Sus scrofa: one gene and its partner. The protein of the gene in region 2 purifies or fractionates together with the protein of the main gene of each other region. This does not show direct contact. Links are inferred from orthologs where the notes say so. Each region holds a gene or a part of one and is shown on either strand. Other genes may lie near its edges.

The links. The genes of interacting proteins can lie anywhere in the genome.
Region 1: the proteins of NFKBIA (region 2) and NFKB2 purify together in Homo sapiens (affinity purification with mass spectrometry; 6 studies listed by BioGRID and IntAct, counting the BioPlex papers as one, with this or other methods). This does not show direct contact. The link is inferred for Sus scrofa from reciprocal best matches to the Homo sapiens genes NFKBIA and NFKB2.

The regions. Positions count from the first base shown.
Region 1 is NC_010456.5:113,404,761-113,410,491, forward strand, and holds the start of NFKB2 (nuclear factor NF-kappa-B p100 subunit), read left to right. Parts: upstream 1-1,651; 5' UTR 1,652-1,773; intron 1,774-2,148; exon of another isoform or gene 2,149-2,671; intron 2,672-2,803; exon of another isoform or gene 2,804-3,031; 5' UTR 3,032-3,108; coding exon 3,109-3,129; intron 3,130-3,382; coding exon 3,383-3,467; intron 3,468-3,574; coding exon 3,575-3,615; intron 3,616-3,853; coding exon 3,854-3,952; intron 3,953-4,036; coding exon 4,037-4,188; intron 4,189-4,447; coding exon 4,448-4,554; intron 4,555-4,652; coding exon 4,653-4,811; intron 4,812-5,096; coding exon 5,097-5,201; intron 5,202-5,329; coding exon 5,330-5,415; intron 5,416-5,493; coding exon 5,494-5,632; intron 5,633-5,731. UniProt on the Homo sapiens protein: NF-kappa-B is a pleiotropic transcription factor present in almost all cell types and is the endpoint of a series of signal transduction events that are initiated by a vast array of stimuli related to many biological processes such as inflammation, immunity, differentiation, cell growth, tumorigenesis and apoptosis.
Region 2 is NC_010449.5:64,505,664-64,511,608, forward strand, and holds NFKBIA (NF-kappa-B inhibitor alpha), read left to right. Parts: upstream 1-2,455; coding exon 2,456-2,682; intron 2,683-2,900; exon of another isoform or gene 2,901-3,250; intron 3,251-3,256; coding exon 3,257-3,365; intron 3,366-3,716; coding exon 3,717-3,927; intron 3,928-4,216; coding exon 4,217-4,305; intron 4,306-4,423; coding exon 4,424-4,684; intron 4,685-5,043; coding exon 5,044-5,091; downstream 5,092-5,945. UniProt on the Homo sapiens protein: Inhibits the activity of dimeric NF-kappa-B/REL complexes by trapping REL (RELA/p65 and NFKB1/p50) dimers in the cytoplasm by masking their nuclear localization signals.

The sequences.
Region 1 (5,731 bases), on a different chromosome or scaffold from region 2:
AATGAAAAAACAACCCATAGAATGGGAGAAAATATTTGCAAATGATGTGATTGACAATGGCTTAATTTTCAAAATATACAAACAGCTCATACAATTCAATAACAAAAAACAAAACAAAACAAACTCAATCGAAAAATGGGCAGAAGACCTAAACAGACATTTCTCCAAAGAAGCCATATGGATGTCTTTCAATAGGCATGTGAAAAGATGCTCAACATTGCTAATTATTAGAGAAATGTAAATCAAAACTACAATGAGGTACCACCTCACACCGGTCAGAATGGCCATCATTAATAAGTCTACAAATAGTAAATGCTGGAGGTGATGTGGAGAAAAGGGAACCCTCCTACACCTTTGGTAGGAATATAAATTGTTACAACCACTATGGAAAACAGTATGGAGGTTCCTCAGAAAACTAAATACAGAACTCCCATATGATCCAGCAATCCCACTCCTGGACATATATCCAGACAAAGTTTTCATTCAAAAAGATACATGCATATAAAAAAATAAAAGATACATGCACCCCTAGGTTCATTGCAGTACTATTCACAATAGCCAAGACGTGGAAACAACCAAAGTGTCCATCGACATGGATGGATTAAGATGTGGTGCATATATACAATGAAATACTACTCAGCCATAAAAGAGAACGAAATAATACCATTTGCAGCAACATGGATGCAACTAGAAATTCTTATACTAAGTGAAGTAAGTCAGAAAGAGAAAGACAAATACCATATGACATCAATTACGTGGAATCTAAAATATGGCAAATATCTACAAAACAAAAACAGACTCACAGACATAGAGATCAGACCTGTGGTTATCAAGGGGGAGGGAGGAAGCAGTAAGATGGACGAGGAGGGAGTAGCAGACACTGCAAACAGTACAAAAGATAATTTTCTACTCTGGCGAAGTTTGAACTAATTTTGGATGGCTTTTCTATTCTGATATTCCAAATCTCTGTGAATGATGAACAAGGCCTGAGTCTCCCAGATAAACACCTCGTTTCTCTTACCCAACGCGGAGCTCCTGATCAGGTCTGAAAGTTTGCCCCCCACCCCGCAAAAAAAAAAAAAACAAAAAACAAAAAACTTTATAGAACAAGTTTTAGGTCCAGATTGCCTCTTCCAGGGAAGACTGAGATTACGGAGTCTCCTCGAGGCTCCAGAGCGGCCACCAGATGGCGCTCTGGCACCAACTGCAAATCAACTTCCTTCCTCTTCCCCTAACTCTTCCCGGCAGCGGGGCCCCCGCTCGAAGCGAGGGACCAGAGGGCTGGGTCCCTCCAGCTTCCCCTTGGGATTCCCCGGCTTCTGAGGTGGCCAAGCATTAGATGCAACATAAGCTGAGTAGCAGCAGGGGCTGCCAGCCGGCTGGGACAGGCCAGGGTAAGAGAGGAGACCGGAGCCGCGGTCCTCGGCTGGGGAATGGCGCTGGGTCAGCGGATCCCGCAGCAGGCTGGTCCCTAGGACAAAACTCACACCTGATTGAGGGCCATCCTCACTCTCGCTTCGCGCGCTGAGCAAATATTTCCCCTCTAAGGGGCGCGCCTGAGTCACTTGCGATTGGTTACTCGAGTCCGGAGTTAAACTTTCAGCCAATGAAAAACGGCATGGGGAGTGACGCACGGAAACGTCACGGGAATTCCCCCCTCCTGGGGCGGAAAAGGGGCTTTCCCGGCTGGAGTCCTGGTAGCTGGAAAGGTGTCGCGACCCGTCCGGGGTGGGTCGGGCCGGGAGAGAATCCGGAACCTGAGCCGCCGCAGCGGTGAGTGGCCGGGTTCAGACCCCTGGGTGGCAGGACACGGGGAAGGGCGGGAGGAGGACCCTTAGCTGACCGAGCCCAAGGGCTGAAGAGAGGCGTCTGCACACTCACAGAGAGCACGCACACGATCAAGATACACGCATACACACTGATGTCCTTGTATAAAGACAGGCGGGCCGTTTGTTACACCTTCACATATGCCGGCGTGTGCACAGCACTATCCATGCAGACTCGCTCACACAAGGACCCGCAAAACACGCACACCGTGCACAGGTGCCTGGACCCATACCCTTCACGCACAAACTCGAAGATGTGTTCACCTGTGCTCTTACATACATGCTCAGATGTTTCCGCACTGAGAAGTTTAAGGACACTCACCTGTATACGCATGTTCAAGCCATGAACACACAACACGCAAGCACATGGGCCGAAACACACTTGTACACCTATGATGCAGATGCATACATGTATTACACACGGCTTTGGGACTGGGGCGTAGGGCGTAGGCAGCCAGAGTAGGTGCAGTGTGGGAATTAACGGCTGTTGAGATGTTTTCGGGAGGGGTAACAGGGGAGCCCATCCCAAGGAGACCCTTTCCTTCCCCCGCCCCAGGGCCCCAGAGACCAGTTATCCGGGCAGAGCCCCGGGGCCCCTCACTGGGAAGAGCCCCCACCTACAGGCCTTCGGGGAGTAGGCCTTCCTACTGCAGGAATGTCCCCCCAAAAGCCCCCAGGGTGATTCAGCCGTGGCCTCACTCGGGGTAGAAAATCCCAAGGTTGCTCCAGGACGGGGGAGGGAAGGAGGCGGACCTGACCCCGTACTAGGAGCCTCCCCCAGCTTTGAAAGACCCTCCCGTCCCCGGCGCCTGCCCTGGAGGGAGGAGGAAGGGGTGCCCAGCCCCGCGGGACCTTCCCAGCATCTGGTAGCCCCTCGACTTCGCGGAGACGCTGCGGGCGCTAGCAAGCCAACTGAGACCTTGAGCCCCTCCCGTCTCGGGGGCGTGGCCAGTGCGTCATTTCCAGGCCCGCCCCCTCCGGCCCCGCCTCCCCCTGGTATTTTCGGGACTTTCCTAAGCTGTTCTAACTTTCCTGCCCTTCCCCGGCCCAGCCCAGCTCCGGATCTTGCCCTCCACCGGATCTTGCCCGCCACACCCGGACGGGTGGCTGGAGATCAGACCCTCCCCTAAATCCAGGCCCCCCCTTTCCCCCCAACTCCCGTCCTGATCTTTCTCTCCCAACCCCTCCACTCCTCCCCACCTAAGGCGGGCGCCTGAAACTCCGGGGAAACAGCACCCGGCCGGCCGGAGCCACCGGACAGAGCTGGGCCTAGCCCAGAGACATGGACAGTTGCTACGACCCAGTGAGTCACTTTGCCTGGCCCCAAAGCCGGCCGGTTGCCCCCTGTGCCTGTCTGCTTGTCTGCCTGCACCTGTAATGTCCTTAGATTATCTCAGCCTGCCTGTCAGTTACCTCTGTCTGCAAACTGCTTCCAATAGGAGTTTTCTTTTATGGGCCTGGGGAGGAGGAGTGATTATGGAGGGCTTGGAGAGCTGAGAGCTGGAGGGCCCCGAGAGTGGCTCAGAATCAGATGCTACCCCAGTCTGTCTCCACAGCAGAGTCTGCCTGGCATCATCGAATATGATGATTTCAAATTCAACCCGTCCATTGTGGAGCCCAAGGAGCCGGCCCCAGAGACAGGTTAGTAAGTCCCCCGACCTCCCCTTGTCTTGGAGGGAGGAACATGTGCCCTCTGCCTTGGGAATGGACTCAGAAGTCCTGGCTCAACAAAGTCCCTCTGTCCCCAGCTGATGGCCCCTACCTGGTGATCGTGGAACAGCCTAAGCAGGTGAGTGAAAGAGATGGCATGGAATGGTTTCAGCTTTGGGGGCAAGTGGGATAGTTGGGTGGCCATGGTGACCACAGACCCACTTGGGTTGAGGTGGTTGGTTGCTGCTGATCACAGCAGTATGGTTGTGAATTCAGGATAGATACATGCAATTATTATGGTCACTGCTGGCTGGTAGCAGGGGAGGGGGGTTTGGGGGCCTCATGGTCACAATGTCACTCTGCCCTGGCACCTTCAGCGAGGCTTCCGATTCCGATATGGCTGCGAAGGCCCTTCCCATGGAGGACTGCCAGGTGCCTCTAGTGAGAAGGGCCGGAAGACTTATCCCACTGTCAAGGTGAGCCTGGATGGTGCTGGGGGGGGCAGGGGTGACTCGTGGACAATGTCCATAAACATTACTGACAGCCCTCACCCCTCACAGATCTGTAACTATGAGGGACCAGCGAAGATCGAGGTGGACCTGGTAACACACAGTGACCCGCCTCGTGCTCATGCCCACAGCCTGGTGGGCAAGCAGTGCTCGGAGCTGGGGGTCTGCGCAGTGTCTGTGGGGCCCAAGGACATGACTGCCCAGTAGGTGCCCCATACCCTTGGCTCCCAATGGCATGCCCCCTCATTGCTTGTCCCAGTCCTAGGCCCTGGCCCACCTCTGTGAGCTTAGTGTCTGACCAAGGGGAGAGACTGCAGCTGGCCCCAGAACCCAAAGCCCCAAGTAAAAACTAGAAAAGCTTCCTAGAGAAGTAGGGCTGAGCTGAGTCCTGGCAGTGGGGAGGGTGCCTCAAGAGCAAAGAACTGCCTGCAAGGCCTCTGACTCCCTCCCTCCCCCACCCAGATTTAATAACTTGGGTGTCCTGCATGTGACCAAGAAGAACATGATGGAGATTATGATACAAAAACTTCAGAGGCAGCGGCTTCGCTCCAGGCCTCAGGGCCTTACAGGTATGGGGGAGATGGAGGGAGTCAAGGGAGGTGGTCATGGAAGGGAAGAGTAGAGGAGGAGGAGGAGTCCAGGGGTCACATGTGTGCCCAATACCCAGAGGCTGAGCGTCGGGAGCTGGAGCAGGAGGCTAAGGAGCTGAAGAAGGTGATGGATTTGAGCATTGTGCGGCTGCGCTTTTCTGCCTTCCTTCGAGCCAGTGACGGCTCCTTCTCTCTGCCCCTGAAGCCGGTTATCTCCCAACCCATCCATGACAGCAGTGAGTATCCTGACTACCCAGGGTGCCAGAGGGAGTATGGAGGGCAGCCTCAAGCTGTGGAGTAGGATAGGCCTGGGTTTGAACTTGGCCCCACCATGAATAAACTGAGTGATCCTGAGCAAATCATTTCCCCTCTCTTGAATATGGTTTCTGTCTTGTGTAAACAAAGATACTAGCACTTCCTGTACTTCTTGGCATTGTCCAAATGATACAAAGCAACCTGGCTCCATAAATGGGACCACGACTATTATATCATCTCACATAATTGATATCCCACCTCCATAGAGTCTCCTGGAGCCTCAAACCTGAAGATTTCTCGAATGGACAAGACAGCTGGCTCTGTGCGGGGTGGAGATGAGGTTTATCTGCTTTGTGACAAGGTGCAGAAAGGTGAGGCTGGAGCCCACGCCGGGAGCTAGGGACACTGGGGGTCAAGCTTGGGGACTGGAACAGATTCAGGGCAAATGGCCCTGGAGATTTACTAGGAGCTGTGGCCAAACTTCCAATTTTCCTTGTAGATGACATTGAAGTTCGCTTCTACGAGGATGATGAGAATGGATGGCAGGCCTTTGGGGACTTCTCTCCCACAGATGTTCATAAACAGGTACCTTGGAGCCAGCGCTGGGCCTGGGCCCAAACTAGGCCAAGGCCTCATTGACACTTATGTCCTCCTTCCCCCCAGTATGCCATTGTGTTTCGGACGCCTCCCTATCACAAGATGAAGATTGAGCGTCCTGTAACCGTGTTCCTGCAACTGAAACGCAAGCGTGGGGGGGATGTCTCTGACTCCAAACAGTTCACCTATTATCCTCTGGTGGAAGGTGGAGCTGGGCTGAAGATCCCAGGGCGGGCTGGAGGATGGGGGATGGGCTGGAGGGTCCCAAGAACTAGATCAGGGGACTCCTGAGTCAAATCAGGAG
Region 2 (5,945 bases):
AACAGATGGGAGTATCCCCAGATATTCTATTTTATCCAACAATTGGAATAGTTTGCATTATCTTCCAAATCAGAGTGTATTCAGTCGCACTTTCACAAAGTGTTTTCAAAAATATTAATACCATGACCTCTTTGGCTAAATGATTAATATGCTGGGATAGAAATGAGATGAACTGCTCTGGGATGCCTAGGTAAATTTCTCTGCATTTCAGTTTCTTTTTAGGAAAGTCAGAACTGTTCCTTGCAAGATGAGTTCTGAGAACAGAATGTGTTGCAGAAAGTACTGGAGTCTTTCTAAAAATTTATCCTATGATATTTCCAAGAGACATGGTCACCCTTAAGCAAAGTTATACAAGTATTCATGGTCAATTAATACCATTTGGGGGGGGTCTTTTTTCTAGGGCTGCACCCATAGCATAAGGAGGTTCCCAGGAGGTGTGGCCGTCAGCTTATGCCACAGCCACAGAAACACCAGATCCAAGCGGCATCTGTGACCTATACCACAGCTCATAGCAACGCCAGATCCTTAGCCCCCTTGATTAAAGCCAGGGATCAAACCTGCCTCCTCAAGGATGCTAGTCAGACTCGTTTACTCTGAGCCACGACAGGAACTCCAAGTAATACCATTTTTAATCTGGAAAAAAATCTAAATATCATTAAATCCAACCTTGTTATTATAAAAGAAGGTACCCCATAGCAAAGGTAGCTAATTCATTCAACTAATGTGCAGCTCATTAAGGGTGGAGCTGGGAAGTGAGATCTCCTACTTAGCGTCACATGCCACCTTGCCTAATAATGATGTATTTGTCTATCAAATGCCTACAAAGACATACAGAGTCTCTCCCTGGACAGTTTTCATTTTATTATGTGATCGTTACTACCCCAAAGATTTCTTTCTTGATTTTATTTTGTCCCTCATATTCTGTCTGTCATCCCTACATTCAGATATCAGAGGTGGGGGTATTGGGGAGGGGGAGATGAGGAGAGGAAAAGGATTGGTTGGTGCATGGCCAGTCAAGTTGAAGATGATTGCAACAATCACGAGAAATCTCTGCAAAACTATAAAAGCTTCCTGGGGTGCCTTCTGAAAAAGTCTGATCCAAGTTGCTTTATTAGGGCCTGGACCATTTCTAGAAGTAGATGAATGCATTCCTTTCATTGGCTAGGAGGTGGGGATGGGGCAGAGAGCATACTTCTGTTTCTGCAGCTGAGACCTGGACATGGTGAACCTGGAGTAGCTACCCATATGGCATGGACAGGTCCAACTGCTGCCCCCTCCTTTGTCCCCCAAGAAGCCAGCAGGGGCAGGATGAAGGCCACCTTGGGGCTGCCCTGAGCCTCCTGCAGTATGCCTGGCAACTACTTTCTTAGCCATCTTTAAGGCCCAATCTTGGGTAAAATACTACTCAACCCATTCTTTAGCCACCTTCTCCAAATGCTTCTAGAAAGCGGCCCCCACAAGTAGGTTCTCTGCAGCAGCACAGTGCAAATGGAGGAACACGACCTCAGTAATTATTTTGTCACTGCAAAGTATCTACAACCTTTGCTATAAAAATTAACACCTTGCTTTCCCTGAAAAATAGCCCAGTCATATCCAGCATTTTCCAGCATCCAGGGCAGAGTGCTTGCTCCTCCCCCAGTCAACAGGACTGTTCATACCGAGGAAATGATTTGAGGGTTCTCTAAGCATTTACGCTGTTAATGCTAAAGCTTTCACGACTTCTACCTGAGGGGGGCTTGAGGGAGGGGGAGGTTTATGTCCCTGCACTGCCAGGAGCCTGGTCTTTGGTAGGAACGCAGAGGCAGCCGGCGACCTTCCACCCTCAGTGTGTCCTTCCCCAGGAGTTTAGGGAAGTGAATCCCTAGATCCAGCCAACATTTCCACTCCCATTTTCAAGAGATTAAAAAAAAAAAAAAAAAAAAAAAAGGAAAGCATCGGCAGGTCAGCAAACCAGCAGTTCTCCATCCTTGGGATCTTAGCAGCCGACGACCCCAAATCAAATCGATCGTGGGAAACCCCAGGGAAAATAAGGTTCCATGCAGAGGGCCAGGATTACTGACTGCAGGCTGCAGGGAAGTACCGGGGGAGGGGGCCGGGTCGGGAGGACTTTCCAGCCACTCAGCGTGCATTAAAAAGTTCCCTGTACATGACCCCAGTGGCTCATCGCAGGGAGTTTCTCTGATGAACCCGGGCGCGGGGTTTAGGCTTCTTTTTCCCCCAGCAGAGGACGAGGCCAGTTCTCTTTTCTGGTCTGACTGGCTTGGAAATTCCCCGAGCTTGACCCCGCCCAGGAGAAATCCCCTGCCAGCGTTTATAGGGCGCCGCGGCGGCGCTGCCGAGCCCACAACAGTCCGAGGCCATCGTCCCGCCCGCCCGAGCCACCGCGAGCAGCCAGCGCGCCGCGCAGCCTGTGGCCCGCGCACCTAGGGAGCAGCGCCCAAGCCCTCATCGCGCCATGTTCCAGCCCGCAGAGCCCGGCCAGGAGTGGGCCATGGAGGGGCCCCGGGACGCGCTCAAGAAGGAGCGGCTACTGGATGACCGCCACGACAGCGGCCTGGACTCCATGAAGGACGAGGAGTACGAGCAGATGGTGAAGGAGCTGCGCGAGATCCGCCTCGAGCCGCAGGAGGCGCCCCGCGGCGCCGAGCCCTGGAAGCAGCAGCTCACCGAGGACGGAGACTCGTAAGTGTCGCGGGCCCGGGTGGCGGGGCCGGGTGGGGGCGCTGGGCCTGCAGCCGGAGGTGCGGGGCCCGCGCTGCGGCCGCGAATCGGGGTTCGTGCACGGACCCCGAGGCTGTGCAAAGGTGCACGGTTGCGCGTGGGAGCCGGGGATCGGGGATTGGGGCCGTGGTCCCGCGGCTCTACCTTGCAGCCGTGCACACCTCCCACCCCTCACCCACCTTTGCGGGTCCCCTCGGCCGGGGGCGGGGCGGCCACGGGGACGCGAAGTCCCCGCTTGCATAAGGGGGGGCGGGAGTTTCTGCCCCGCTGGCGGGCGGGAGGGGAAGTACAGGGCGTTCCGGCCCGGCGGGAGGGCGGGGCGGTCTGGCCGGCGCCCGCCGCCTGGGGAGGGGGGGGGGGCGGAAAGTCCCTGGGTGCCTGCCAGGAACACTCAGCTCATAATAACCTCGCGGAAAACACCGCGGCCTCGGCCTCCAGAAACCCCGGGCTTGCGCAATCCCCTGCGGGCTGTGCCTCCCTGGGCCCCACGCAGTGCACTCACCAGCCCTGGGGGTTTTCCCTCTCTTCCCCTCAGGTTCCTGCACTTGGCCATCATCCATGAAGAGAAGGCACTGACCATGGAAGTGGTCCGCCAAGTGAAGGGAGATCTGGCTTTTCTTAACTTCCAGAACAACCTGCAGCAGGTGCGCTGCTTGCCCGCCCCGTGCCTCTTGGGTTCTGCCTCTCTGACCCCTTGATGGAGCTGGATCTAGCACAGTTATTTCCAATGATTTCCCAATTAACTGCCCCTAGTCATGATCCGCCCTGAGCTTTTACATCTGAATCAGCCAACATCCTAGAGAGGAAGGAAAAATCCCATTGATTTGGTGAGGCTTTTATGAAGCCCACCTGGGGTCTCCCGTCTGTTTCCTTAACCCCTTGTATCTGTCTGGGAGGAGCGGCACGCACAACCAGGATATCTCTAGGGTTCAAGGGGAACATGGATTGTGGGTTTGATCCATGGCTTATCCTTTCTGTCCCTCTTCTGTTGGTAGACTCCACTCCACTTGGCGGTGATCACCAACCAGCCAGAAATCGCTGAGGCACTTCTGGAAGCTGGCTGTGATCCTGAGCTCCGAGACTTTCGAGGAAATACCCCTCTACACCTTGCCTGTGAGCAGGGCTGCCTGGCCAGTGTGGGAGTCCTGACTCAGCCCCGCGGGACCCAGCACCTCCACTCCATTCTGCAGGCCACCAACTACAATGGTAAGTCTGGCTGCCCTATGCATCAGAGGGCACGTGACACAGACAAGGGAGAGGTGGGCCGACTTAAGGCAAGGTGTAAACTCTCAACACGTGAAAGGCTGAGAAAACATGTATGCATCAAGGTCTTAGTAAAACATGTATGCATTTGATGCCTTACTAAAGTCCATTCAGAACCCAGAGTCTGGGTTCTTCAAATTCAGAAGACCTCCTCCCTTAAAAGAATAGGTGAAAGTTCTGAGAAGTGAGGGTGGCAACAAGTGCTTATATTTTGTTACTTTTGGTACTCTAGGCCACACATGTCTGCACTTAGCCTCGATCCATGGCTACCTGGGCATTGTGGAGCTGTTGGTGTCTTTGGGTGCTGATGTCAACGCTCAGGTGGGTGCTTCAAGCCTACAGATGGAGGGCATTCAGCCCTCAATAAGATCACATGCTCTTGCTGCTAGCAGAAACCTCAGACTCAGCCATAAGCATCTCAAATTCCTTTTGGTTTCAGGAGCCCTGCAATGGCCGAACCGCCCTGCATCTTGCGGTGGACCTGCAGAATCCCGACCTGGTGTCGCTCTTGTTGAAGTGTGGGGCTGATGTCAACAGAGTCACCTACCAGGGCTACTCCCCGTACCAGCTCACCTGGGGCCGCCCAAGCACTCGGATACAGCAGCAGCTGGGCCAGCTGACCCTAGAAAACCTCCAGATGCTTCCAGAGAGCGAGGATGAGGAGAGCTATGACACGGAGTCAGAGTTCACAGAGGATGAGGTGAGTCCCAATGACCTTGTTCACGGGTCTGCAAAAAGCAATGCTCTCGGACCCCTAGAGCTCCTCCTTTTCCTGAGGGTCTCAACATAATGAGGATCTCAAATTAGGGAGCATAAGCAGTGTCCTAAGAGTAGGTTTAGGGGGAGGATTATGGTCTGGGGTTTTCTTTTGCTTTTTTGCTCTTTTTGAAGGAGAGGATCCTTAAAGGAAAACTTCAGCCCAGGAAGTTAATTCAGATTCGGGTTAGAGGGAACGGAGTCCAAGAATACTTGCGTTATTTCCAGTAGCAGCCCTTGCCATCACCCCAGCACCTTTGGCAAAGTTCTGGAAGTTTAACATGCCTTTCTTTCCCCTTTTAGCTGCCCTATGACGACTGCGTGCTTGGAGGCCAGCGCCTGACGTTATGAGCTTTGGAAAGTGTCTAAAAGACCATGGACTTGTACATTTGTACAAAATCAAGAGTTTTATTTTTCTAAAAAAAAAGAAAAAAAGAAAAAAAAAGAAAAAAGGGTATACTTATAACCACACCGCACACTGCCTGGCCTGAAACATTTTGCTCTGGTGGATTAGCCCCGATTTTGTTATTCTTGTGAACTTTGGAAAGGCGCCAAGGAGGATCATCGGAATGCAGAGAGAACCTCTTTTAAACGGCACCTTGGTGGGGCCTGGGGGAAAGGTTATCCCTAATTTGATGGGACTCTTTTATTTATTGCGCTTCTTGGTTGAACCACCATGGAGTCAGTGGTGGAGCCCAGGTGTATCTGGGAAATGTTAGAATCAGGTGTGTTGTTAAACCTGTCAGTGGGGTGGGGTTAAAAGTCACGACCTGTCAAGGTTTGTGTTACCCTGCTGTAAATACTGTACATAATGTATTTTGTTGGTAATTATTTTGGTACTTCTAAGATGTATATTTATTAAATGGATTTTTACAAACAGAATTCTGATCACTGTCTTCTTCGGGCAGCTGTGGGACTCCTACACTGAGAGTCATTCGAACCCCAAGTGGAGGTGGAGGTGGAGAATTGTGTGGGAGCATTTACCACAGCCAACCACGGAACTCTTTCAGAGAACAGCTTCTCACACCGTCTACACCAGCCTCCCGGCCAGGCTTTGCAGGCAGCCCCAGGCCCAGTGCGTGGGAGGGGAGGCTGTTGCAAGGTGATAGGAAACACCAGTTTCAGGCTTGGGGTGGCAGCAAGTTGGTTGGCCTACAGCTGGAAGGCTCTTCATTGTCGCTTGCTTTCATCTTCCTGGTTTAAAT